Linked DNA regions of Macaca mulatta. The protein of the gene in region 3 interacts with the protein of the main gene of each other region in a biochemical or structural test. Links are inferred from orthologs where the notes say so. Each region holds a gene or a part of one and is shown on either strand. Other genes may lie near its edges. The genes, in order: MAP3K2, HTRA1, XIAP, PTEN, TLE3 and UBE2M.

Evidence for each region.
Region 1: of the proteins of XIAP (region 3) and MAP3K2, one has a biochemical effect on the other in vitro, tested with the Homo sapiens proteins (2 studies listed by BioGRID, with this or other methods). The link is inferred for Macaca mulatta from reciprocal best matches to the Homo sapiens genes XIAP and MAP3K2.
Region 2: the proteins of XIAP (region 3) and HTRA1 form a complex in vitro, tested with the Homo sapiens proteins (2 studies listed by BioGRID and IntAct, with this or other methods). The link is inferred for Macaca mulatta from reciprocal best matches to the Homo sapiens genes XIAP and HTRA1.
Region 4: of the proteins of XIAP (region 3) and PTEN, one has a biochemical effect on the other in vitro, tested with the Homo sapiens proteins (2 studies listed by BioGRID). The link is inferred for Macaca mulatta from reciprocal best matches to the Homo sapiens genes XIAP and PTEN.
Region 5: of the proteins of XIAP (region 3) and TLE3, one has a biochemical effect on the other in vitro, tested with the Homo sapiens proteins (2 studies listed by BioGRID). The link is inferred for Macaca mulatta from reciprocal best matches to the Homo sapiens genes XIAP and TLE3.
Region 6: the proteins of XIAP (region 3) and UBE2M form a complex in vitro, tested with the Homo sapiens proteins (2 studies listed by BioGRID). The link is inferred for Macaca mulatta from reciprocal best matches to the Homo sapiens genes XIAP and UBE2M.

Annotation. Positions count from the first base shown.
Region 1 is NC_133417.1:9,899,069-9,903,306, forward strand, and holds the start of MAP3K2 (mitogen-activated protein kinase kinase kinase 2), read left to right. Parts: upstream 1-1,438; 5' UTR 1,439-1,963; intron 1,964-4,238. UniProt on the Homo sapiens protein: Component of a protein kinase signal transduction cascade. Regulates the JNK and ERK5 pathways by phosphorylating and activating MAP2K5 and MAP2K7. Plays a role in caveolae kiss-and-run dynamics.
Region 2 is NC_133414.1:134,543,021-134,547,037, reverse strand, and holds the start of HTRA1 (serine protease HTRA1 precursor), read right to left. Parts: upstream 2,801-4,017; 5' UTR 2,738-2,800; coding exon 2,263-2,737; intron 1-2,262. UniProt on the Homo sapiens protein: Serine protease with a variety of targets, including extracellular matrix proteins such as fibronectin. HTRA1-generated fibronectin fragments further induce synovial cells to up-regulate MMP1 and MMP3 production.
Region 3 is NC_133426.1:130,341,685-130,344,139, reverse strand, and holds the end of XIAP (E3 ubiquitin-protein ligase XIAP), read right to left. Parts: intron 2,227-2,455; coding exon 2,033-2,226; 3' UTR 501-2,032; downstream 1-500.
Region 4 is NC_133414.1:99,939,533-99,943,472, forward strand, and holds the start of PTEN (phosphatidylinositol 3,4,5-trisphosphate 3-phosphatase and dual-specificity protein phosphatase PTEN), read left to right. Parts: upstream 1-1,140; 5' UTR 1,141-1,330; coding exon 1,331-1,409; intron 1,410-3,940. UniProt on the Homo sapiens protein: Dual-specificity protein phosphatase, dephosphorylating tyrosine-, serine- and threonine-phosphorylated proteins.
Region 5 is NC_133412.1:47,666,383-47,669,882, forward strand, and holds part of TLE3 (transducin-like enhancer protein 3), read right to left. Parts: intron 2,874-3,500; coding exon 2,797-2,873; intron 1,800-2,796; coding exon 1,550-1,799; intron 1,188-1,549; coding exon 940-1,187; intron 1-939. UniProt on the Homo sapiens protein: Transcriptional corepressor that binds to a number of transcription factors. Inhibits the transcriptional activation mediated by CTNNB1 and TCF family members in Wnt signaling.
Region 6 is NC_133424.1:70,695,394-70,699,671, forward strand, and holds the start of UBE2M (NEDD8-conjugating enzyme Ubc12), read right to left. Parts: upstream 2,801-4,278; 5' UTR 2,151-2,800; coding exon 2,042-2,150; intron 916-2,041; coding exon 821-915; intron 689-820; coding exon 650-688; intron 549-649; coding exon 445-548; intron 138-444; coding exon 74-137; intron 1-73.

The DNA.
Region 1 (4,238 bases), on a different chromosome or scaffold from region 3:
GGGAAAAAATTTATCTCTGGATTACTTAGTAAACAAACACGTTTTTATTGAATGCTTGGTTTGTGGTGACCCTATAACTGTGGCGAACAATATCGATGTTTCAGATTTAAATACTATCCTCAGGCATTCTGAGACCCTCCTTTCTGTGGCATACGGATCTTTGAATGTTAGATTCAAGAAGGTCTTAGATTTATGCATAAAAGTCCTCCATTTTTTAAACAAATAGAAGCAAACTGATTTTCCACTGAGCTCTGTGTTTCTGAGGTGCACATCCTTGTTCCTGTGCCTTTGACACCTCTGTTAATGAATCTGTAATAAAGATTCCTGGAGGAAACCCAGAGATAGTTTGACACTGCACAACAGTTTCTCCCTCAGTCTCTGCCGCACAAGTGCCAGGTCCCTTGACCATCAACCCAAGTTGGGATAGCTCCTTACCTCTGGGTCGGTGAGTCCCATTCCCATCTCTCTCATCTCAAATGCTGCAGTGGAAATATGGTCTGGAATAGGCATGAAAGGGGTGGATCCAGCATGTACCAAGAAACCAAGTAGAAGCTAAACAGGGAGGAATGGTACAGGAAGTTGTAAGGGGTATTTAAGGAAGGGAGAAGAGAGGGGGCGGAAAGATGCTTTCTGGATCAAAGTAGGGTGAAAACCTCGGGATGCCGGTTAGGCACACCACGGAGGGCCTCACCGCTAGTCTGATTAATTTGCATTTTATCCTGTGGGCGATGAGGAGCGAAGGAAAGGGTTTTAGACTCTAGCTTTGGGGGTGGAGTGTCAACTCATGTCTCTGGGCTGAAGTTTCCACATCTGTTAAGCTGGAGAAGTAATACTTGCTGGGCCAACCAATGTACACAACCATTGTTACAACCAAGTATCGATGGTGATAAAAAACTAAACAGAAAACACAAATAACACTTAGCCGGTCTCCAAGGGGGTGGTTTAAGGTTAGGTGGCAAGCCTGAAGTAATTTCTAAAGTCCCTTGGGAATAAAATTCTGAAACTTGAGCCATAAATTAAGAGGCAGATGGCTTTTCTCTTTGCAAACGACCTGCCACAGACTCAGTCCGTCACTGCCTCTGCTAGCTCTGCTACCCTTGGGCCCCGTCCGCAACCCACGTGGGAGACCTTTCACGGGATCTACTCGGATGTCTGGGATCGAGACAACCCAGGTGCGTATGCGCCGCGCACACGGAACAGCGCAGGCTGCCCGAGGCCATGGGGCGGGGCCGAGGCCGGGGCGGAGCCAGGACTGGGAATCCCCGCGCCGTCAGGCCGGTGGGGGCCGGGCGTGTGTGTGGGCGTGGCGGGCCTCTGCGCAGGCGCCGACCCACTCCCCAGAGCCGGGCGCGCGCCCGCGACGGGTTCCGCTACCGGCGGGCGGAGGGGTGCGCGCGCACGAGCGAGCGGCCGTGACGTGCGCCGCGCTACGCCCGACGTCACGAGTCCGTGTGTAGTGGCGGCCGGGCTGCCTGCCCTCAGCGGCGGCGCCTGACGAGGGTGCCGCGGCGGGTGGGCGCAGCGTTCGGGGATTGCACGGCCCGCGGCGGCGACGAAGACTACGACCAGGAAGCTCGGCTCCCCTGTCCGCGGAGTCGCCACTCCCGCCTCTTCTCCGGTCTCTGGCGACGCGGGCCCGCGGCTTCCCCCTTTCCTGCCCGACTCCCCGCGGGCCTCGGGGTTGCAGCGGCCAGAAGCACCGAGGAGCGCCAGGAGGACCCGGCCGGCCGCGAGGATTGACGCGCCCGCCACCCCGCCCGGCCCAGGCTTCATGTGAAAGAGGGACGGGCCTGGCCCCGAGGCCCGCGCCCGACTCCTCGCGCGCCCCTCCGGCCCCCGGGGGCCCCGCGGCCGCCCCCGACCGGGGGCCGCGGTGACAGGCCGCGCTGGGGCGGAGGGGCGGGCTCGGCGGGGGCGGCCCCTCCTTGGGCCTGCGGCTCTCTACGTCCCTGCGGAGCTGCCGGTACGTGCGTGTGTGCGTGCGTGCGCGTGTGCGCTTGTGTGTGTGTGTGTGTTTGTGTGTGTGTGTGTGTTTGTGTGTGTGTGTGTGTGCGCGCGCGCGCGCGTGTGTGTGGGGGGCCGCGGGCTGGGCGCCGGGAGGGGGCTGGCGGCGGCCTAAGCGCCGCTCCAGGGGCGGAGATTTCGCTGGGTGATTGCCTAACTGAGGGAGGGCGGACCTTGGGCCCCCTACATCCCGTCCTGAAGCCCAGGTCAGCGCGAAATAGGCTGCTGGGCTGTTAGCTGTCAGACACGTACCCTGCAGAGATTTTAGAAGGAAGGTTGCAGCTGGTCTTGCGATGAAGCAGAAATGGTACATGCAGTGAACGAAAAAGTGCTTGTCTTTGCACTGTCATAGTGTGGTAATCTTTTGATGTAATGTTGTTTCCCCCTTTTCACGGAATATTTAGGTAGCACTTACGGTGCCCTTAGTCTGCGCCCGGCAGTTGTTATGTCTTATTTCTCTTCATCTTCCCAGCCCAGTGAAGTGGGTATATCGCCCCATTTTACAGATGAAAACTTGAGGCCCAGAGAGATTAAGGCATTTGTCCAAGGTCATGAAGCTAGTAATCCAGGAAGGCTTGGTTCGAAGACAGTATTTCTTGCAAAAATAAATACGTTGAGAAAATGAGACTAACTGGGCAGTTTCTTTAATGGGACAAATTCTAAACACATAGACGCAGTTTAGTTTTCCTTAAGTAAGATCTTCGATGTCTTTTGCCAAACCATTTTCTTGGCTTAAAAAAAAAAATTTAAAGGATGGCTTCAGATACCTTTACTTTTTGCGTACTAGTACTGGACAGAAAAAATTACTCTCTTACAAAAAAGAAATACATTTGGTAAAACAGCATAGATCTTGAAAAGTTACAAATTTACTTTTGTAGTTTGACCTTGATGCCCAAAGGGAACTCACAGTTGGGTTATTTGCTTGAGATTTCCTTGTTGCAAAATTTGTTGCTGGATTATGTGGCAATTTAGTGATTTGTTAGTTGTCTTATGCAATGTTTTTTAGTTTGATGTCAAATTTTAATATCGTAGAAAGTTTGATGGTGTGATTCTTTTTTCATTTGTATGGAGTGCTACTAATCAGTGTTTATAAGCTAACTGAAAATTCTCATTTTAGCATGAGTTTTGTATTTTTTTAAACTATGGTGAGAGGAAAAAATAAGGAGCCAGAGCTCTGTACTGAAAAAAAGTCGATACATTTCCTTGAGTAATTGAAGCTTTGTGCATAATTGCAAATGTTTAACAAATCTATTGATGCCCAATTATACTAGGCCGTAATTTTCCTAGTATATTATCAAGTTGAAGAAAATTTGTGATCTTGCAATCTCTATGGAGAAAAAGTGAAATTACAAAGTTAACGTGGATGGTTTACAGATTGATTTGTTGTTTGGTTAAAATATAAACATGTTGAATCTTATTGAATTATGTTGTATCTGGTATCATTATAGAATGGTTATCCATGTGCCTGTTTTGAGAAACTAGCTGTTAAAGACTTATCTTAAATAATTGGATTGCATTAGAGATTGAATCTTTTAAGCAATGTTTTAGGTGGAGCTTTTGTTTCTCATTTACTTTATTGGTACCAAAGGGGTAAACTAATAGGTGCTGTATTAAAATAAAGTCATGTTTGATACTCTGCATTTCTTACAGCGTTGGTTTCAGGTTGATTTTCTCTTTCCCTATAGAATTGGAGCTGTTTCCCCCCACCTCCCACTTTTTATTATCAGACAATTTCGAGTATGCAGAAAATCTGGTAGTAGTAAACCACTTGTATCATGATCCTGTAGATAAAACGTTTGTTGGTATCTTGCCATATTTGCTTTATCTATAAATACATGTACAGACATACCTTAGAGATTGTGGCTTTGGTTCTAGACCACTACAATAAAGCGAAATAAGTGAGTCACATAAATTTTTTAGTTTCACAGTGCATATAAAGTTATGTTTGCAATATATTGTAGTCTATTGTGTGCAATGGCATTATGTCTAAAAATGTATATATCTTAATTTAAAAATTATTTATTGCTAAAAATTGCTAAAGAACATTTGAGCCTTTAGAGAGTTGTAATCTTTTTGCTGGTGGAGGGTCTTGCCTCCATGTTGATGGCTGCTGACGAGTAAGGGTGGTTGATAAGGGTTGGTTGGTGAAGTTTGGGATGGCTGAGGCAATTTCTTAAAATAAGACATTAGTGAAGTTTGCCGCATCGATGGACTCTTCCTTTCATGAAAGATTT
Region 2 (4,017 bases), on a different chromosome or scaffold from region 3:
AAAGCCACCATGCTTATCCCTCTGTGGCTGTCCCCTCACTGGTACACCGGGGCCCGCCGTGAGCCTGATGGCCAATGGGGGACCTGTTTTCCTCCACACAGGGACTCAGCCAACTCCAAAGCTTATTAAGCAACTTGCCTCACTAGCAATAAATTAGGCGACTCGCATGGTGCCAGCAACTCAGGACCCCGTGCAATGAGACCACAAACAGCGAGACCAGTAACAGCTGGCTTGTTTTGGACAAAAACATGCTTTTTCAATGTTGTTGCCTCACACCCAGATTATTGCAGTAGTCTAAACTCTCCACCCTGGATGCATTCCGCACACCACTGCTAGGTCAGCCCTACACTACACTAGGCTTTGAGTTGCCCCAGTTCAAGAACATCTGCACACAGGGCCCGGGGCACAGCCAGCCTCTTCAGCCCTGGGACTCTGGGCCACCAGCCTGGCTCACTCCTGCTGCCCTCCCCAAACATCCCCCAGCCACACTGATCTATTCACCTCCAAACAAGTCTTAGGCTTTGTGTATGCTGTTCCTGGCTCTGAGGGGGATGCAAGTCCAACCCACCGGGAAATTTACAGCACCTGACCCCTCTCCCACACCCTTGGAGTTAAGTGCTGGCCTGACTCCTCTGAATGAGGCTATCTGGGTTTAAACTCCAGCTGAGTGACCTTGGGCAAGTTTTTCAACCTTAGTTCCGCTATCTGTAAAACAGGAATGAGAAGCTGGGTGTGGTGGCATCCGCCTGTAGCCCCAGCCACTTGGGAGGCTGAAGCAGGAGAATCATTGAGTCCAGGGGTGGGAGGCTGCAGTGAGCCATGATCACACCACTATACTCCAGCCTGGGCGACAGAGGGAGACCCTGTCTCTTAAGAAGAAAAAAAGAGAGAGAGAGAGAGGAGAAACTCCCTCCTCATGAGACCAAATGAGGTCACAGAGGTAACACACCCGGCACACAGACTGAGTGCTCAATAGGCGTGTGCTATCATCATGCCCATTCTCTAGTCTGCGGGATCACTTGTCTCCGGGACAACTCTCTACTGCCTAACTAGGCTGAGTTTCCCGAGGGCTGTGCTCCTGCGTTAGTGAAATACACAATCTCGAATTTCACCCAATTCGGCTCTGGCACCTTCCGGTCCATGTAAGCCAAACTATGCCAAGTCCTAGTTGGTCATACTGAACCATATTCCTATAAAGTAAAATCTAGACCAGTCCCTCTGCACTGTGCTCTCCTATGCCCCTCTCCTGGCACTGCCCGAGTTGAGGAGGCAGCGCTGGGGTCGGGCAGCAGCCGCATGGCTGCGCCTAAGCGCACTGCCAAGCCCCGCTGTCTGGTTCTACACCGCGGGACTGGCCGCCGCTGAACTCGATACTATTCTTCCACATGGCCTCTGCCTGAAGATGGGAAGCATCTCTCCGGAAGGTCCCGCGAGAGAGTTAGACATTGCTCCACTCCACTCCTGCCCCCATCACCACCATCTCCCCTGCCGAACAGGTCCTGTATGCGGCAGGAGGGAGGGGCAGGCTCCTTCCTCATTACTAACCCGGTCCCTTCTACGCCTCTGCAGATTTCGTGATCCAAAGCCCGATTCAGCTTATTCAAAAGGAGCCACTTTCATTTTTGTAGGGCTGGCTCAAAACGAGGAAAGCAACACAGGCAGCAACGCCGCCGAAACGAGTGCGATGCCAAACCGTTCCCTGCCCGGGGTAGACTTTTTGGGGAAACTCCGGCGGGGGCCGGCAAACACTCTTCCTTTCCAAAAGAGTTACATACAGTTTTCACGGAGCGGTCCCGTGATCAAAGTAATGCATTTTAAAGGGGACGGAGGAAGCAAATAGAAAAAGCAACAGAAATGACTTCTTGTGGTCCTGAAGCCACTCTGCAAGGCTCCAGTTCCTAGTCCTGAACTTCTCTCCTCCCTTTATGCCCCCACTCCTCTTATTTGTCCTCGGCTCCCCGCGCTGTGTGGCTGCCCTCAGGGCGCTCCGCGGCAGGTCGCCAGGCGTCTCGAGCCCCAGAGTGCAGGCCCGGCGCACCGGCATCGTCTGGGCGCAGAACCGGCCCCGGGCTGGGCGCGAAGCTCGTTTCCGAGGCAGCCCGCGGAAAGCCGCCACCCCGGGGCCCACCTGCCTGTCCCCGAGAGTTGCCCTGGCCACCCCGCAACGCTTCACTGCCCCTCGGTCTGCCCACCAGTCCCGCAGAAGCAGGTCCGAGCTGGGATGGAGAGAATGGGGTGCTGCCCAGGAGCGCGGCAGAGTACCTTGGCCACAGGCGCCGCGCTGCAAGACGATGACCGGCGGCCGGTGCAGCCTCTCGGAGCGGCGGCTGGCGGCGCGCAGCTGGCACAGGTTGGCGTAGGTGTTGGCGTCGCTGCCGCACACCGGTTCGTTGCTGGCGCACACACAGAGGCCAGCCTGCGCGCGTCGCCGCACCGTGGCCGAGGCTGGCACCCCGAAGGGCACCACGCACTGCAGCCCCTCGCCGCACGGGCCCTCCTGCAGGCCGCACGCGGCGCCCTCCGGCGCGCCGCACACCTCGCAGCAGCCGCACGCGTCCCGGGCCCGGCCGCCCTCGCAGTGCTCCGGCTGCGGCGGGCAGCGCGCCGGCTCGCAGCGCTCGGGGCACCCGGTGGCCAAAGGCGCCGAGCGGCCGGCCCGGGACAGCTGCGCCGAGGCGGGCGCCGCCAGCAGCAGCAGTAGCAGCAGTGGGAGCAGCGCGGCGCGCGGGATCTGCATGGCGACTCTGGCGGCGGCGGCGGCCGTGGCGGCTGACAGGGCGAGGGCCGGAGAGCGGCGCCGGGGAAAGTGCGGGAGGGCCTCGGGGGCAGCGGGTGCGAGTGCGCGCGGCCGCGCGGCCCAGCCCATTGGCCTCGCAGCGGTGACGAGCCGCCTTGGGGACGGGCACGGCGCCCGGGAGGGGGGCCGACCGGATGGCGGGAGGGCGGACGACTGGACCGGGACCGCCCGCGGCGGGGGCAGGGCGGGCGCGCCCGGGCACGGCGGAGCTCGTGGGGCGCGGGCGGGGCAGTGCACAGACCCGCCCTCTCGCGGGACTCAGTTTCCCCGTCTGCGCGCCCCACATATTCGCCTTCCGCAGGTTCTCTCGCTGCGATTCGCGTCCTTCAAACTAAAGGAACTTTGCAAGGGGGCCCTGCGGCGTCTCCCCGCGGGAGCGCTCGGGAAAGTTCCTGCAAATCGCCCGACTGGGGGCCTGCCCGGGAGGCTCGGACTGGGCCAGGCAGGGACTGCAGGGGCCTCTGCGCAGACCCGGGGCGTTGGCGGCACCGCGGACCCCGGTCACGCGCTGGTTCTGCCCCCGGTACCCCGCATGCGGGACCCTGACCGCGGGGCCTGTGCGGCCGGACGAAGGCAGCGTCCGCGGAGCTGCCAGAAAGCCCGCGCCCGGACCCACAGTGAAGTGATAAAAGCAGAGAGCAGAAGTAATTTGAACAGAATCCTTCACACGTCTGATTCTTTTAAACAGTTGTTGTGGGTGGCACGCGTGTCCGTACTCGCAGAGAGCTCAGGAAGCAGCTGGGAGGCTCGTAACTGGAGAGGGTGCAGCGGTCTCAGATGGGAAAGGGGTTTGCTCCTGTTTGAATTTTTCACCACGTGCGTGATTATTTCAAAACACTTTTGTTATCAAAAATTTGATTTTCCACTGGAGAATCTTTGGTGCAGCCTTTGGGACAGATGCGAGTCTGAGAGTCATCAGGAGGGCCGAGGGCGACCCTGGAGGTGGGTCTGGGTGCCCAGGCAGCACCAGGCCTGTGGGCAGTAGTCCTGGGTCCACACTGAGCAGATGGGTACAGCTCGCGTCCAAGGACCTGAGAGGAGGCGGTTCGCCCAGCCCTCATCCGAAACCCTCAAACCTCCAACCCTACCCTGGGCAGAGGCACCCACGGTTGGGTGGGCCGGCAGAGCTGACTTTGGGATACAGTAGCAAGGGAGGGGGCTGGGGGCTTGGAGATTTTAATATTCTTCTGTATTTGGGTTGTTCCCTCGTGCACACGTTA
Region 3 (2,455 bases):
CATGGTGAAACCCTGTCTCTACTAAAAATACAAAAATTAGTCGGGTATGGTGGCACTCGCCTGTAATCCCAGCTACTCAGGAAGCTGAGGCAGGAGAATCGCTTGAACCCAGGAGGGGGAGGTTGCAGTGAGCAGAGATCATGCCACTGCACTCCAGCCTGGGTGACAAGCAAGACTCCATCTCAAAAAGAAAATTAAATAAATAAAATAAATTTGCAATGTTTTAAATGAATATCACTTAAAGTAGTAATCAACAGAAGTTAGGAGAACATAACAGTACTCTTTCTCTTAGAAAGTACAACAAAAATATAATTTTTTACAGTTTTACTCTCAAACTTTTCTCTATGTAGTAACATGCCTTACTCACCTCTACAATAGGTTTGTTGTGAGAATCTTATAATGTAAACCCTGGACGTCCTATGAAGCATTTTTAAACTTCTAGTTTATGTCCTATTGATTCTTATTCAAGTGTTTTTCAAAAAATATTTAAACAACTATTCTTTTCTTGCCAATATTTTTATAATTTCCAAGAGGTTTTAAGGATGTTGAGAGAACATTGATTTCAGAAGTATCTACTACTATTACTAGTCAAGAACACAAATGTAGGCAGAGGATTTAACATTTCATCCTATATACATCTTAATCATCCTAACGGTAAAAACTCACATGAAACTTTAAGATACAAGATGATATGAGAATCTCAACATGGAAAGCTGTCACTATAACTACAAGCAGTGTACAAACATACTTCTACTTTTACCTACATAAGCTGACAGATGTTTAAAATACTGAGTTAACAAAGATCTTTTAGTAAAGTGACTTAGGCAGGCTTAAACTAGCAAGGATTAAGGATGAATCCTTACTAATTAATTGGAAGATCTGAGACATATTTTATATTTCATTTTACAAAATCAGAAATACTTATTTTGAAACAAGATAAGAAGACATGGTCTACCTGTCAAAAACCTACCACTCAGAAATATTTTTCATCCACAAAGCAGGAAAAACATAAAACCATTTACATTTCACATTGGCACCAAAAAGGTTAACTGCCCTGCCTTCTTGGATTAGAAAAACTAAAGCTGAGTGATAAGTACTTTTGCAGGCGTTTGAACATGCCTAAGCCTTTAAATCAGTAAAATACTTTCTAAAAATTCTGATTACAAAAGTAATACATACTTATAAAAAATTCAAACAGAACAAAATGAAAAAAATAGAAAGTGAAAGGCCCCTATAAAACCCCTCTGAGGCCCCTTCCCCAACCCCCCCAAAGAGAAACCACATTTAACAGTTTGGTGTCTATCTTTCCAAATCTTTTGTTCTATACATATAAGAAACATACATACTTTGATTGCCTCAGACTATACATAGTGTTTTGCCACTTGCATTTTACACTTAATATATCTTTCACATCTTTCCATGTCAGTACATCTTGGCTTGATAGTATTCTATCATTAAATACCCTTTCAAAAATGGCAAATCACTTTTAAAAAATTATTCGCACAAGTACGTGTTTATAATTTTAAAAGAAAATGGACAGAATCCTAACACACAACAACCAACCTCTAAAAATAATCTCTATCTTTCCACCAGCATGGAACAATTATTCCTTTTTCACACAAAACAAATTATGTGATTGGGGAGATTAATCTCCACATTTATATACAGAAAGCTCCATTTGTTAAGCCTATCTGAAAAGAATAAAAAATCCAGATGATTAATTCACTTACACTTAGAAATTAAGTCAGTATATGATGAATACACATTGTGTTCAGTTATAATATGATGCTTCTTAGTCTAGGGTTTCAATTAGATAACAGTAAAAAAAGTTGGATAAATAATACAGCTAATAGCCTGAAAAATCCAGAAATTCAAAGATTATATTGCCAACTAAAACACTGCCATGTACATTTTTTTTCTACTTGGTAGCAAATGCTAATGGAATTCAATCCTGATTACTTAAAAGTCAGTTCACATCACACATTCAATCAGGGTAATAAGAAGAACATAACATCCCTACTACAGAGTTAGATTAAGACATAAAAATTTTTTGCTTGAAAGTAATGACTGTGTAGCACATGGGACACTTGTCAACTGCTTCAGCACATTGTTTACAAGTGACTAGATGTCCACAAGGAACAAAAACGATAGCAATATTTCTATCCATACAGATTTTGCAAAGCTTCTCCTCTTGCAGGCGCCTTAGCTGCTCTTCAGTACTAATCTCTGCAAAAAGAGAAAAGAATTATGCTAGTTTTAGACTTTCTTAGTTGTTTACATTCATTGAAAATATTTATTGAACCCCTACTACGTGCCAGGCACCCAACAAGTGCCAGGAGATATGAGGATGACTCACACATGGCATCTGCTCTTAAATAGCTCACAGGCTAGTGGGAGAGGATGTAAGATGAGGCTATGGAGGTTAAGCACAAAGTACAAAGTGATAAGTGCTGTA
Region 4 (3,940 bases), on a different chromosome or scaffold from region 3:
ACTGCTCAACGCACCCATCTCAGCTTTCATCATCAGTCCTCCACCCCCGCCCCGCAACAGCCTACCCTGCCTCCGGCTGGGTTTCTGGGCAGAGGCCGAGGCTTAGCTCGTTATCCTCGCCTCGCGCTGCTGCAAAAGCAGCCGCGGCAAGTGCAGTTGCAGGCTGGCGGCTCGGAACCGGCCCGAGCGAGCTCTAGGCAGCCACACTGGGCATGCTCAGTAGAGCCTACGGCTTGGGGGCTTTGCGCTCGCACCCGGAGCTACCGCTCCTGCCCCCGCCTACCGCCCCCTGCCCTGCCCTCCCCTCGCCCGGCACGGTCCAGTCCGCCTCTCGTTCGGCTCCCGCCTCCCCTCGGTCTCCCGAGGAGCCCGGGCTCCCGGCGCGGCGGCGGAGGGGGCGGGCAGGCCGGCGGGCGGTGATGTGGCGGGACTCTTTATGCACTGCGGCAGGATACGCGCTCGGGCGCCGGGACGCGGCTGCGCTCAGTTCTCTCCTCTCGGAAGCTGCAGCCATGATGGAAGTTTGAGAGTTGAGCCGCTGTGAGGCGAGGCCGGGCTCAGGCGAGGGAGATGAGAGACGGCGGCGGCCGCGGCCCGGAGCCCCTCTCAGCGCCTGTGAGCAGCCGCGGGGGCAGCGCCCTCGGGGAGCCGGCCGGCCTGCGGCGGCGGCAGCGGCGGCGTTTCTCGCCTCCTCTTCGTCTTTTCTAACCGTGCAGCCGCTTCCTCAGCTTCTCTTGAAGGGGAAGGTGGAAGCCGTGGGCTCGGGCGGGAGCCGGCTGAGGCGCGGCGGCGGCGGCGGCACCTCCCGCTCCTGGAGCGGGGGGGAGAAGCGGCGGCCGCGGCGGCCGCGGCGGCTGCAGCTCCAGGGAGGGAGTCTGAGTCGCCTGTCACCATTTCCAGGGCTGGGAACGCCGGAGAGTTGGTCTCTCCCCTTCTACTGCCTCCAACACGGCGGCGGCGGCGGCGGCACATCCAGGGACCCGGGCCGGTTTTAAACCTCCCCTCCGCCGCCGCCGCACCCCCCGTGGCCCGGGCTCCGGAGGCCGCCGGAGGAGGCAGCCGTTCCGAGGATTATTCGTCTTCTCCCCATTCCGCTGCCGCTGCTGCCAGGCCTCTGGCTGCTGAGGAGAAGCAGGCCCAGTCGCTGCAACCATCCAGCAGCCGCCGCAGCAGCCATTACCCGGCTGCGGTCCAGAGCCAAGCGGCGGCAGAGCGAGGGGCATCAGCTACCGCCAAGTCCAGAGCCATTTCCATCCTGCAGAAGAAGCCCCGCCACCAGCAGCTTCTGCCATCTCTCTCCTCCTTTTTCTTCAGCCACAGGCTCCCAGACATGACAGCCATCATCAAAGAGATCGTTAGCAGAAACAAAAGGAGATATCAAGAGGATGGATTCGACTTAGACTTGACCTGTATCCATTTCTGCGGCTGCTCCTCTTTGCCTTTCTGTCACTCTCTTAGAACGTGGGAGTAGACGGATGCGAAAATGTCCCTAGTTTGGGCGACTATAACATTTAACCCTGGTCGGGTTGCTAGGTCATATATTTTGTGTTTCTTTTCTTGTATTCAACCTAGGGTGTGTTCGGCTAGACGGAACTCTTGCCTGGTTGCAAGTGTCGAGGCACCGATTGCTTGCTTAGGCTGTCTATACGGTCTCTTCCTGAGGGCTATTGTCCGTTAATACAGAATACAGTATGCTGTTAGTGGATTAGAGAGCTCGGTAATCCGGTCTCCTAAATGAACAAAAAAGTAGACGCTTTGAGGTTGAGCATATTTCGATTAAATCTTGGCTTAGGCCCTAGATCAAGGGTTTAGATCAGAATAAAATGAAAATTAGTGTTGCACGTATGCATATTGCATCAGAATCTTGCAGTGATTGTTTTAGTTTCCTGGGTTGCATTGATAGATTCTTTTAAAATATGACTGATTTGCATAACTTTAGAAGCAGAATAATTTTCAGTATATATGGTGCACATTGAGTGCAAAAAGTAGTTTTGTTAATGTTTTACACTTAAGTTACAACTTTGGACTGTATTTAGAAGTTTTGTAGTTTGAAATCAATAATGCCATTATATACCTTATAAGGCGTTCTTACTAGATCTTTGTTATATTTACCTTTTTCTCTCCCTATGGGATGATGTAGGATAGGGCTTGAAATTTGCACTTCAGTAGCGTTTAATGTTCAGTGCTCTTGTCATAAACATGGAATGGATATTGAGTAGTTTTTGATCCCAGATGACAATGTGTAGGTTCAAGGGTATTGTGTGTGGCAAGTGAAGATTGCAAAGATAAAACTTCAGTTCATGCTTGAAATTTAAGTATTGTGATGCCAGAATTGCTGCTCACCGTTTTTAGATTTCAGGTTCTCTGACATCTTTTGGTATTGTTAATTTCAGTGATTTGTGTAGAATGTCAAGTGAATTTTACCAGCTAATATCCAGAAATGCTGGCAAGAGAAGTTTACTCCAGCTTTAGATTGTAGGTATGTTAGCTTTTTTCATACAGTGTATTAAATTTACTGAGTCAGCTTGTTGAATAAGACAGAAGCCCAAGAATTTTAACAGTGTATAGCTTTAGTTGTCTAAAAGTTAGGCCTTCGGGCTTCAAAAGTTAGTGGTCATCGAAAAGCATGAATCTTTGCAGTTTCAGGTACAACAGACTGGTTTTGATTAGGGATGGGGATGGGGCCCTCATTTTGCAGAATGGAAAGTATTGACAGGAATTGAGAGCTATTGGTAGGCCAGTGTATAAGGTATGTGAAAACAGAAGTTATTGGTCTGAAGTGACTGAAGCATTTAGGCTCTATCAAGGCCTAAAATTTGGTAATATGAGTTTGGTAATGCGAATTGTGGCAGTGGACAATATTTAGTTAAAATTATGTAATTGCATAAGTACTAGCAGAGTATTTTTAATAAAAATTATTTCTTAGCAAGTATCAGTTGCATTTTGTCTAAAGGTAGCGTGACACTGCAGTGTCTATATGTCCTGCTAAAAATTGTGGGGAAGATTTTTTTTTAAGACAACGTTTATATCGGGAGAGGTTTTATTCCCTTGGATTATGTTAGCTGCATATACATGTGCACAGTTAATTTTGCCCAAGTTTTTGTTTTGAAATGAATATAAAACTTACTGAAGAAGTAGCCTCCCAAAATTTAGTTTTCTGTTAAGTCAGTAATATTATTTTAAAACAGTATTTGCAAATTTTGAAGTTGGCATTAATTGAAAATGTTACTAAGGCTAAACTGGAAGATAAAAATGTTACTAAGGCTAAACCCGCTTGCCCAGAAGATAATTATGGAAAAAATTCTTTTGTGACTTCCAAAGCAGTCTACTATTAGCATGAATTACTGACAGTCATCCAAATATATAGGAACAAAAAATTAAATGTTTATGTAACTTTGAAAAAAAAGCCTCTGAAGAAAATAATTGAATGCTGTCTGGGAGACAGATTTCTTTCAGCACTTAAAGTACATACACACTACTTTTACTTTTCCCACTTTATTTAAAATTGTCAGGGTTATTAAGACCTTAAAATTATTCTACCAGGTTTTTACATGTGAGCTGTGATGTGACTGGCATTTCCTTTGATTTCAGAGTATGTGGGTCTCTACACATGAAATTTATGTGACTTAAAACTTTCTCTAAAATTGTACTTTTAGTTATGCATAGAAAGCAGTATCAAATATTGTGTCAAATGACTAATAACACTTGATTTCTAGAGTTGTGGTTTTATTGAGCCAAAAGTTGGTATGAAAAAAAGTCAGTGAGGAAAGTCAATGAAGTGCTTGCTTTTTTGATAATTGCACTCCCAATAATTTTGATATTCCAACGTACTTGGTTTGCTTGTTTTTCTGTTTATGGGGGTGGGAAGGCATTAAAATGGTCATTGAGGACTTTGTCTTTGGCATGCTGTAGTATTTATTTCGGCAGCTAACCTGTGAAA
Region 5 (3,500 bases), on a different chromosome or scaffold from region 3:
AGAAGAGGAAACTGAGGCCCAGAAGAGCGCACTATGCACATGGTCCCTTAGTGAGCTTGCAGCAAAGCTAGCTCTGGCCTCTTTCCAGTTCCACAGAAGGGTTTGCCCCGGGACAAGTCCCGTGGGAAATGGGGGGTGAAAAGGGGACCTCACACCAGGCTTCTGAGACTGAATCCCTCCAGGGTGGGCCTCTGGAGAAGGTGGAGCTGGAGGCTCAGGAAGGCCCTAGGGAAGCCATGTGTGAGATGACTGATAAAGAGAATGCAGGGCCTCACTGCCTTTAAGACACAGCTCCTTAGCCCGCACTCCATGCGCCCTCAATTTACCCTCTTAATCTATCTCTTCACCCTGCATGAACTATGGGGCTGAGGCCATCCATGAACACGTTGAATAACACACACAGCCCATGTATAAGAGTCAGCTGGGCCAGGCACCCCGTCTGCTTTTGCACTGTAGCACTGTCAGAGGCAGATGCTCCATTGTCACTGTTTTACACAGGAAGAAACTGAGCCGCAGGGGTTCAGCAACTTGCACTAGGTCATAGTGGAGGCAGGATTCAAACCCAGCAGTTTTGTCCTAAGGCTTGTCTAGACACCACATGATGTGGCTTCCCAGTCAGGTCTCCCCAGTCTGGTCTCTGGGCCTCTCTCCCAGCCTCTCTGCTTGCTCCACTAATCTGACCTCCACTTTCCCAGACATGCTCTAGCTCCACTTTCTTCCCAGAGCCCTCTCCAAGCTCCTGGGCCCAATGGCCCTCCCTCCTCTGTCCCTCGAATAAGGCAGGCAGAGCTGTCTTTTCACCTGTGCATCCCTCATCCCAACGATTATGGCCACCCCACGGCACCTCAGACAAGGCCAAGGTCACAGCAAACAAGACCAGGCAGGGTGGGTAAAAACGTCCCCAGGACGAGGCACTAATGCTCCCTCCTGACGGCTCACCTGACCAGGGTCTGGTTGTGCAGGTCCCAGACAGCTATGTTCCCGTCGCTGCAGCAGGAGAAGCAGACTTTGGCATCAGGGCTGATGGCCAGGGCATAACAGGCGGGAGCCGAGGACGTCAGCTCGGCCTTGATGCGGGGCGTGGGCGAGGCCAGGTCCCAGATGGTGAGCGTGCTGGCCTCGCCGCCCACGATGAGCGTGCGCCCGTCAGGAAGCAGCTTGCAGGAGCGGATGTAATTGTCCCTGTTCTGGAGGGAGAAGGGGCAGGGCTGAGTGCTGCCTACTTCCCCTCGTGGGCACCAGGAGAGTCTTGTCCAGCAATACTGAGCACCCTCACCAGCCCTGCTTACAGCCTCCCCTATACCCAGCAGCTGCCTGGCTGTCCCCATTCCTCAAATTCACAAGCCTTTGATCTTTCATGAATACCAGGAGGTCAGTATCAGCCCCACACACAGAAGGCACAACTGGGGCTCAGAGAGGTTAGTCAGCTTGCCTAAAGTTGCTCAGCCAATACGATGCTAAGCCGGGCCCTGGGGCTCTCCCCCGTGGCCCAGGCTACCCCATCCTCCTACACCAGCTGGAGGAGGCGCGGTGGCCCTGGGATTCTCACCAGGCAGTCCAGCTGGGAGATGGGGCTCTTGCTGCCTGGCTGGCTGATGTCCCAGATCTTCACGCAGCCCTTGCCACCTGTGTAGACGTGCCTCGTGGGGTTGCTGATGGTCACGGCACACACCACCTCCCCGTGGCTGAGTGTGTTAATCTGCCGGGCGTGCCTCGGGATGCCGGGGCCTGCCAGGGCGTCGTGGGGGAAGGGCACGGGCTGCATCTGCCCATCAGCGCTCACATGGAATGAGTACGCTCTGAAAAGGTGAGAACCGTCACTGCTGCCATCCACCCCGGCCCCTCAGAGTTCCCACAGGCCTGGCCCAGGTCACCTGCACCGCCCCCGACTGGCTGCCCTGCCTCCAGGCCCCTCTGCTCTGAAACCTTTCGAACCCAGTAACCCCATGTACTGGGAGGGCTCCACCAGGGTGGAGAGTGCTTAACAGACCAGCTTTGATTTTTACACTCGGTTATATATCCTTGCTCCAAATCAGACCAGAAACCCACAGATGTCCTGGAATGCCCTTTCCCACAATCCATTCATTCCCCCAACAAGCCAGCCCTGGAAAGGGCATGGCTGAAATGCCACCTCTTGCTTTAGGAGCCGGCGGTATTAGGGAAGGGATCTGCTTGCCCCTCAATAGCAAATGGGAAAGTCCGTGTCAGAGTCGGTGGGAGCCAGCCTGGCCTGCCTGCTGTTTCCGGCTCTGGTGGGCGCCCTCTCAATCAGCATCTAGATTCTCGTGGACAATTAGAGGACTGTGTCAGGCAGTGTCTCCGCATTATCTATAGGCTCAATCTTTTAGTTTCCTAGCAACCCGAGGAAGTGAAGGGCCGGGGAGAGTGTGCCCTCCAGGGGAGGAAAGCACTGCTGACAGGGAAGGGCCTGCGACCAGCGGCACTGGGGCCTTCCCAGCAGGTAGAGCCCAAAGGAGTCGGCAAGGCCCACCACAGCTCCAGGTGACTCGGTGAGGAGTGTTCCTTGTCTCCCAGCCCGGTGGCCATGTACTTAGCTAACCCCATGGCTCCTCTGTTGGAGGGAGCTTCTGTGGGTGCTGAGAAGCATGGCTTGGCTATAGTTTTCTGGGGTTGCAACTAGGCCTCGGTGCCTCCAGAGGGACAGATACCTTTCCAAAGGGACATGCACCAGGGCAAATTCTTCGTCAGGGGATGACGTGTGTTGTTGGAAGGAGGGGTAGAGTGCTCTCTCCTCCCCACCCTACAAAGCATGCAGTAAGTATAGCCAAAGCTTACGGTTTTCCTCCAGGAATGGAGGCCAGGCTTGAGGGGAGGCCTGTGGCCCGCATGGGGGGGTGAGGGTCAAAACCAACCTGTAAAGCAAGGCAAGACAGCCCTCCATCAGCCGTGTTGCCACACACCCCCACCCCTGCCTCCTCCACCACCCACCCGGGGTCCTACCTGCATGGCTCTGCCACTTTATAACCCAAGAGACAAGCTGAGCAGAGCAGAGCCCATTGATTCAAAGGAGACACAGGCCCAGGAAGGCCCGTGGCAGGGAGGGGGTGACAGTGTGTAGACCCCACTCTGAACCAGCATCCTCCCTGTTCTGCAAGGCAGAGCTGGCCCTGCCCTACTTCTTTCCTCTCCTGTGGTCCTAGTGGGCCTGCCAGTGGAGAGAAGGCCACCCAAGGTCCAGGAGGTAAAAAGGAAAACTATCTCCTGAAAAAGGGCCCCTCTCTCCGCCAACCCTAACTCTTCTTTTTCTTTTTATTTTTTGAGATGGAGTCTTGCTCTGTTGCCCAAGCTGGAGTACAGTGGCGCAATCTTGGCTCACTGCAACCTCCGCCTCCCGGGTTCAAGGGATTCTTCTGCCTCTACCTCCCGAATAGCGCCTGCCACCACACCCAGCTAATTTTTGTATTTTTAGTAGAGACAGGCTTTCACCATGTTGGCTGGCCAGGCTGGTCTCGATCTCCTGACTCAGGTGATCCACCCGC
Region 6 (4,278 bases), on a different chromosome or scaffold from region 3:
CAGGTAGGGGGGTCAACAGGCCAGAGGGACAGAAGGCCAGTCTCCCCAGACCCAACCACCTATTCCTACTCACCAAGAAGAGATACTGCAGGCCATAAATTATGGAGTTTATCGTAAGGACTGGCTTCCAGTCCTCTCTGTGGACAGAGAGCATCAGGGTCAGAGCTTGGTGAGTGGGAGACTGCCAGAGGCCCCTCTGGTATTGGGCAGGTCAGATCCAGGGCATAGGAGAGTGAGCATGTGAGAGGCTGGGAGGGAGGGTGTGCAGCAGGCTAGGCCAGGGAGAAAACCAAGGTCAGGCCATGAGGAAGATGACTGGGAAATGAAGAAATCACAAACAACAAAGGGGTGGGAAGGGACAGAGTCTGATGTAGTGCCCACAAGACCATGAGGGGGACCTGGCAGGCAGGGCTGGGGAGGGCAGTAGAGGGCCCGTGCCTTCACCTGAGGATGTTGAGGCAGACGTTGCCCTCGAGGTCAATGTTGGGGTGATAGACCATTGTCTCACACTTCACCTTGGGGGGATCATGTGGGTACCCCTGGCCCACCTGGCTCCAGGAAAAGAAAGGAGAGATGGGTAGGTCCCTGGAAGGGCCTCAGCTGCTGCCTCCTCAGTCCAGGGAGCCATCCCTGCCTGCCTGGGACTCACCTTAAAACTGAACACAAACTTCCCACTCTTGTAGAAGCCCTGGGAGGGAAAGGGGGAGAAGAAAATTTTAGGGTTCCATCCTGTGGGGCCTGATGGGCAGAATATGTCTCCCTCCTCTCAGTGGGGACACCCTTGGTCTGCTCCTGGGAATTCAGCCATATGCACCCTCACCTCATCAGGACAGATGACCAGCTTGAAGTTGAGGAGGTCGTCTGGATCTGAGAAGCTGATATCACACGTCTTGGGCAGGTTCAGCTCGTTTATGTCTGGGTTTGGGCAGCAGAGAGTGGGGGTCAGAAAGAGGGAGGGGAAGAGAGAGAGAGAGGGAGCCAGCAGGACACTTAGGGCAGGTGTTTGTTAGCAGAACCCCCATGGTCTCCTCCTAGACCCCTAGGCCTCTGTCCTGGGCTGTGCTCCACACCTCCAGCCCTCTCCCTGTTCCCTAGCTTGGCTCTTGTGGATACACATCATACCCCAAACATGCATGTTTAGTTGTGTATGCGTGTCTCAACTCCTGGCCCAGGGTAACCCCCAACTGTTCTGTATCCACAGCTCCCAAATGCCCCCACTCCCAAACATCCTCTGACTGCCCTAAACTCCAGGCTCCCCATCCATGACCTCCACTCTCCAGTATCTACCTGTTCACCCAAACTCAAAGATCCTGCCCACCCCCACCAACCCTCAGTCCTCACTGTCCTTCCTCTTCTCTGTCTCTCAGACCCAGCTTCCCATCTGACCCCCACAATCTCAAGTCCCCAACCCCCACCACCCTGCCCCACCTCCTTTGACTCTGAGGTTCACAGCACAATAGCCTAAATTCCCCCTCACCCCTGTCTCCAATCCCTGGTACTCACTAACCTTCCTTCCTCCACCTGTTACCCCAAAGCCCAAATCCAAATTGCTGTGACTCTCAGGTAGGCCCACGAGTCCCTAATCCTCCAACTTACTTTACCCGTTTGACTCTGAGATTCCCAGAGACCCCAGCATAATACACTAAATCCTCTCCCACTCATATCCCCAACCTTTAGCCTCTACTATCCGTCTCTTTTTCGCCTGTCACCCCAAACCCAAGTTCCCGTCTAACCCCCATACTCTCCAGTCCCCAGCTCCTCCACTCCACTGCCTGACTCTGAGATTCCGAGTCCCTAGTACCAGACGCCAGGCCTTCCTAATATCCTAAACCACCACATACCGGGCCCCATCTCTGACCCCCACCCCGTGACTGCATGATCCCAACCCTCAAGACCTGAACTCCGACCCCCCCCCCCCGACTCGGGGCCCTCCACCTCTGACCCTCGGCAACAGCATTACCCCCTCCTGACTCTCAACATCACCCTGCCTCAGGCTCTGACCTCCGACCTCCAGCTCCAACCCCATCCCCTGACCCCCTACCCTTCTGGATCCGCAGCTGCGCCGCCGACGCCTTCTTGCTGCTGCCCTTGGTGCCGCCCGCCGACTCCTCCTCCTTCTTCTGCTGCTTCAGCGAGAACAGCTTGATCATCCTGCCGCCGCCGCCGCCGCTGCCGCCGCCGCGGGGCCCGGGACCCCGGCCACCCGGCCCCCCGCCGCCGCCCGCGTCGCCTCCGCTCCTCGGACCCGCCGCTGCGGCCTCCTGCGCTGCTGCCGCCACCCGCCCGGCCTGCCGCGCCGCTCCGCGCCCACCGCGCGGCCCGCCTCGGCTCCCGTAGTCCGGCCCCGGCCTGGCCCAGAGCCTCGGGCTCGCTCGGCAGCTCTCGGCCAAATTCGGCTGTTTTCGGGCCCGCCCGGCCCCGCCCCCACTGCCCCGGGCCGCTCCTTCCTTGCCCTCGCCCACTCTGGTCTCAGGCCCCGCTGCAGCTGCGGACTCGGGGCTCCCCGGACTGTGCCGTTTGCCGCTCAGCTGATCCCTCCGCGAAGGGGCTGCGGCTAGGGGTGGAAGGAGGACGCGGCAGCCGCGGTGACGGCGGGTGGGTATTGGAGGATCGTCTTCCGCGGCAGCAGCGGCTTTAGCGCGGAGGTCTGCAACGGCCTCGGGCGCCCCGCGGCTTCGGATATTTCCGCCGCCTGCCCGCTTTGGCTCTTCCCGCCCGGCCTGCGTTGTGCGCCTGCGCAGCCGCCGCAAACCCGCGTTGCTCAGCGATGGAGTTTGGGGTTCGGCCTCCTTCGGCTGGACTCGGTTATTTCCGTTCGTGGAGATGACGCTTCGGCGGCCCTGCGGGTCACTTCCGGCGACTCTCGCGGGGCCGGGCAGGAAGCGGGGTTAGCCGCCATCTTTTAGTGGGGCAGACACGGGCCGCTTTGCTCGCGGTCACTTCATCCTGTGTTGTGTATGTGCAGAGCGCGGCGGGGGTGGTCGTCTCCGCTGCTGCCGCCACCCACACGGCCTGCCTTTGACCCCATAGGTCACAGACAAGGCAGGGTGATCGCGGCAAGACCCCGAGTGAGACTAGAGGCGTTACCCAGAGGGTGCGAGGTCGAGCACCCTCACTGTCCTATCGCAAACCCAAAGATCCCCGTTCCTGGAGATTCTGATTGAGGTAAACTAACAAAACATGTATTGTGCCAGAGAGTGGTAAGCACTATGGAGGGTTACAGTGGTGCAGGGGAAGACCTGTCGGGGTGGACACTTGGGGAACGTGACGTGCGGGCGGAGCGTGGGCGCTATTGGCATGGGCCGCGAGTGCCAGCGGAGACGCACTGGAGTCTCTGCGCTTCCCCTGCTAGCTGGAAAAGGGGATGGAGGCGGGGTCAACTTCTCATCCAATCACAGCTCAGCGTGCCTCGGAGGGCGGGAGGAAACAGAACTCTGCGGGTCTGCGACTTCCGGCCGTCACCACGGAAACTACCGGCCCCGTGAGCGCGTGGTGTGGTGGCCTTTCCCTGCGGAGGGCCCCAGGCGCCACTCCTCTGATTCTGCAGATCCTCCCCCAGGAGTGGCCTCTGGCCAAGGCTGGCTTGTCTGCTTCCCCCGAGGCCAGGCCCCTAGTCTTGGGGGTTAGGGTGACTTGAAGCAGCAGGGGGAAGTCCGGCTGCACCCCGAAAGAAGCTTGGACACACAAACTTCAAGTCTCTGTTACTGGAAATGCCCAGGCCAAGACTAGCCTGACACGTGCCCAGAGCGAGACCTTCAGTGGGGTTTAAGGCTCAAGCTGTACCCTGCTGCACACAGACCACTTCTTTGAAACTGCCTTTCACCCTGTGTTACCTGCACCCAAGTCATCCATTGGAGGGGTGGGGGAGAGGGGCTGTGTGAAGGACCTGGACAATGCGATGGAAGGGGAAGATGGCTAGGGCAAAATAGTCAATGGCACTGGGTCCTGGAGATGCTGCCCTGAAGCCTGCAGTATGCTGAACTTGCGCTCTCAGCGTCTGTCCACTTTCACCTAAGCTGCGTTTCCACTGGTTTGCTGCTGGATCTACTCCTGACTGAATCCTTCCAGTGTGCCCGGGGCCAGGGTGGGAGAAGTCTTCAGCTCTAGTGATGGGAATGATCACCACAGGGCAGGGAAACTGGCCCAGGGCCTGCAGTCTTTGCTTCTCAGACTGGTTGGGGATCCATCTGCAGGGTCCTACACCCTCATCACCTGCTGCTTGTAAACATGAGAACAGGAAAGTCCCGAAAAATCTGAATTTCCAGGTAAAATCCTCCA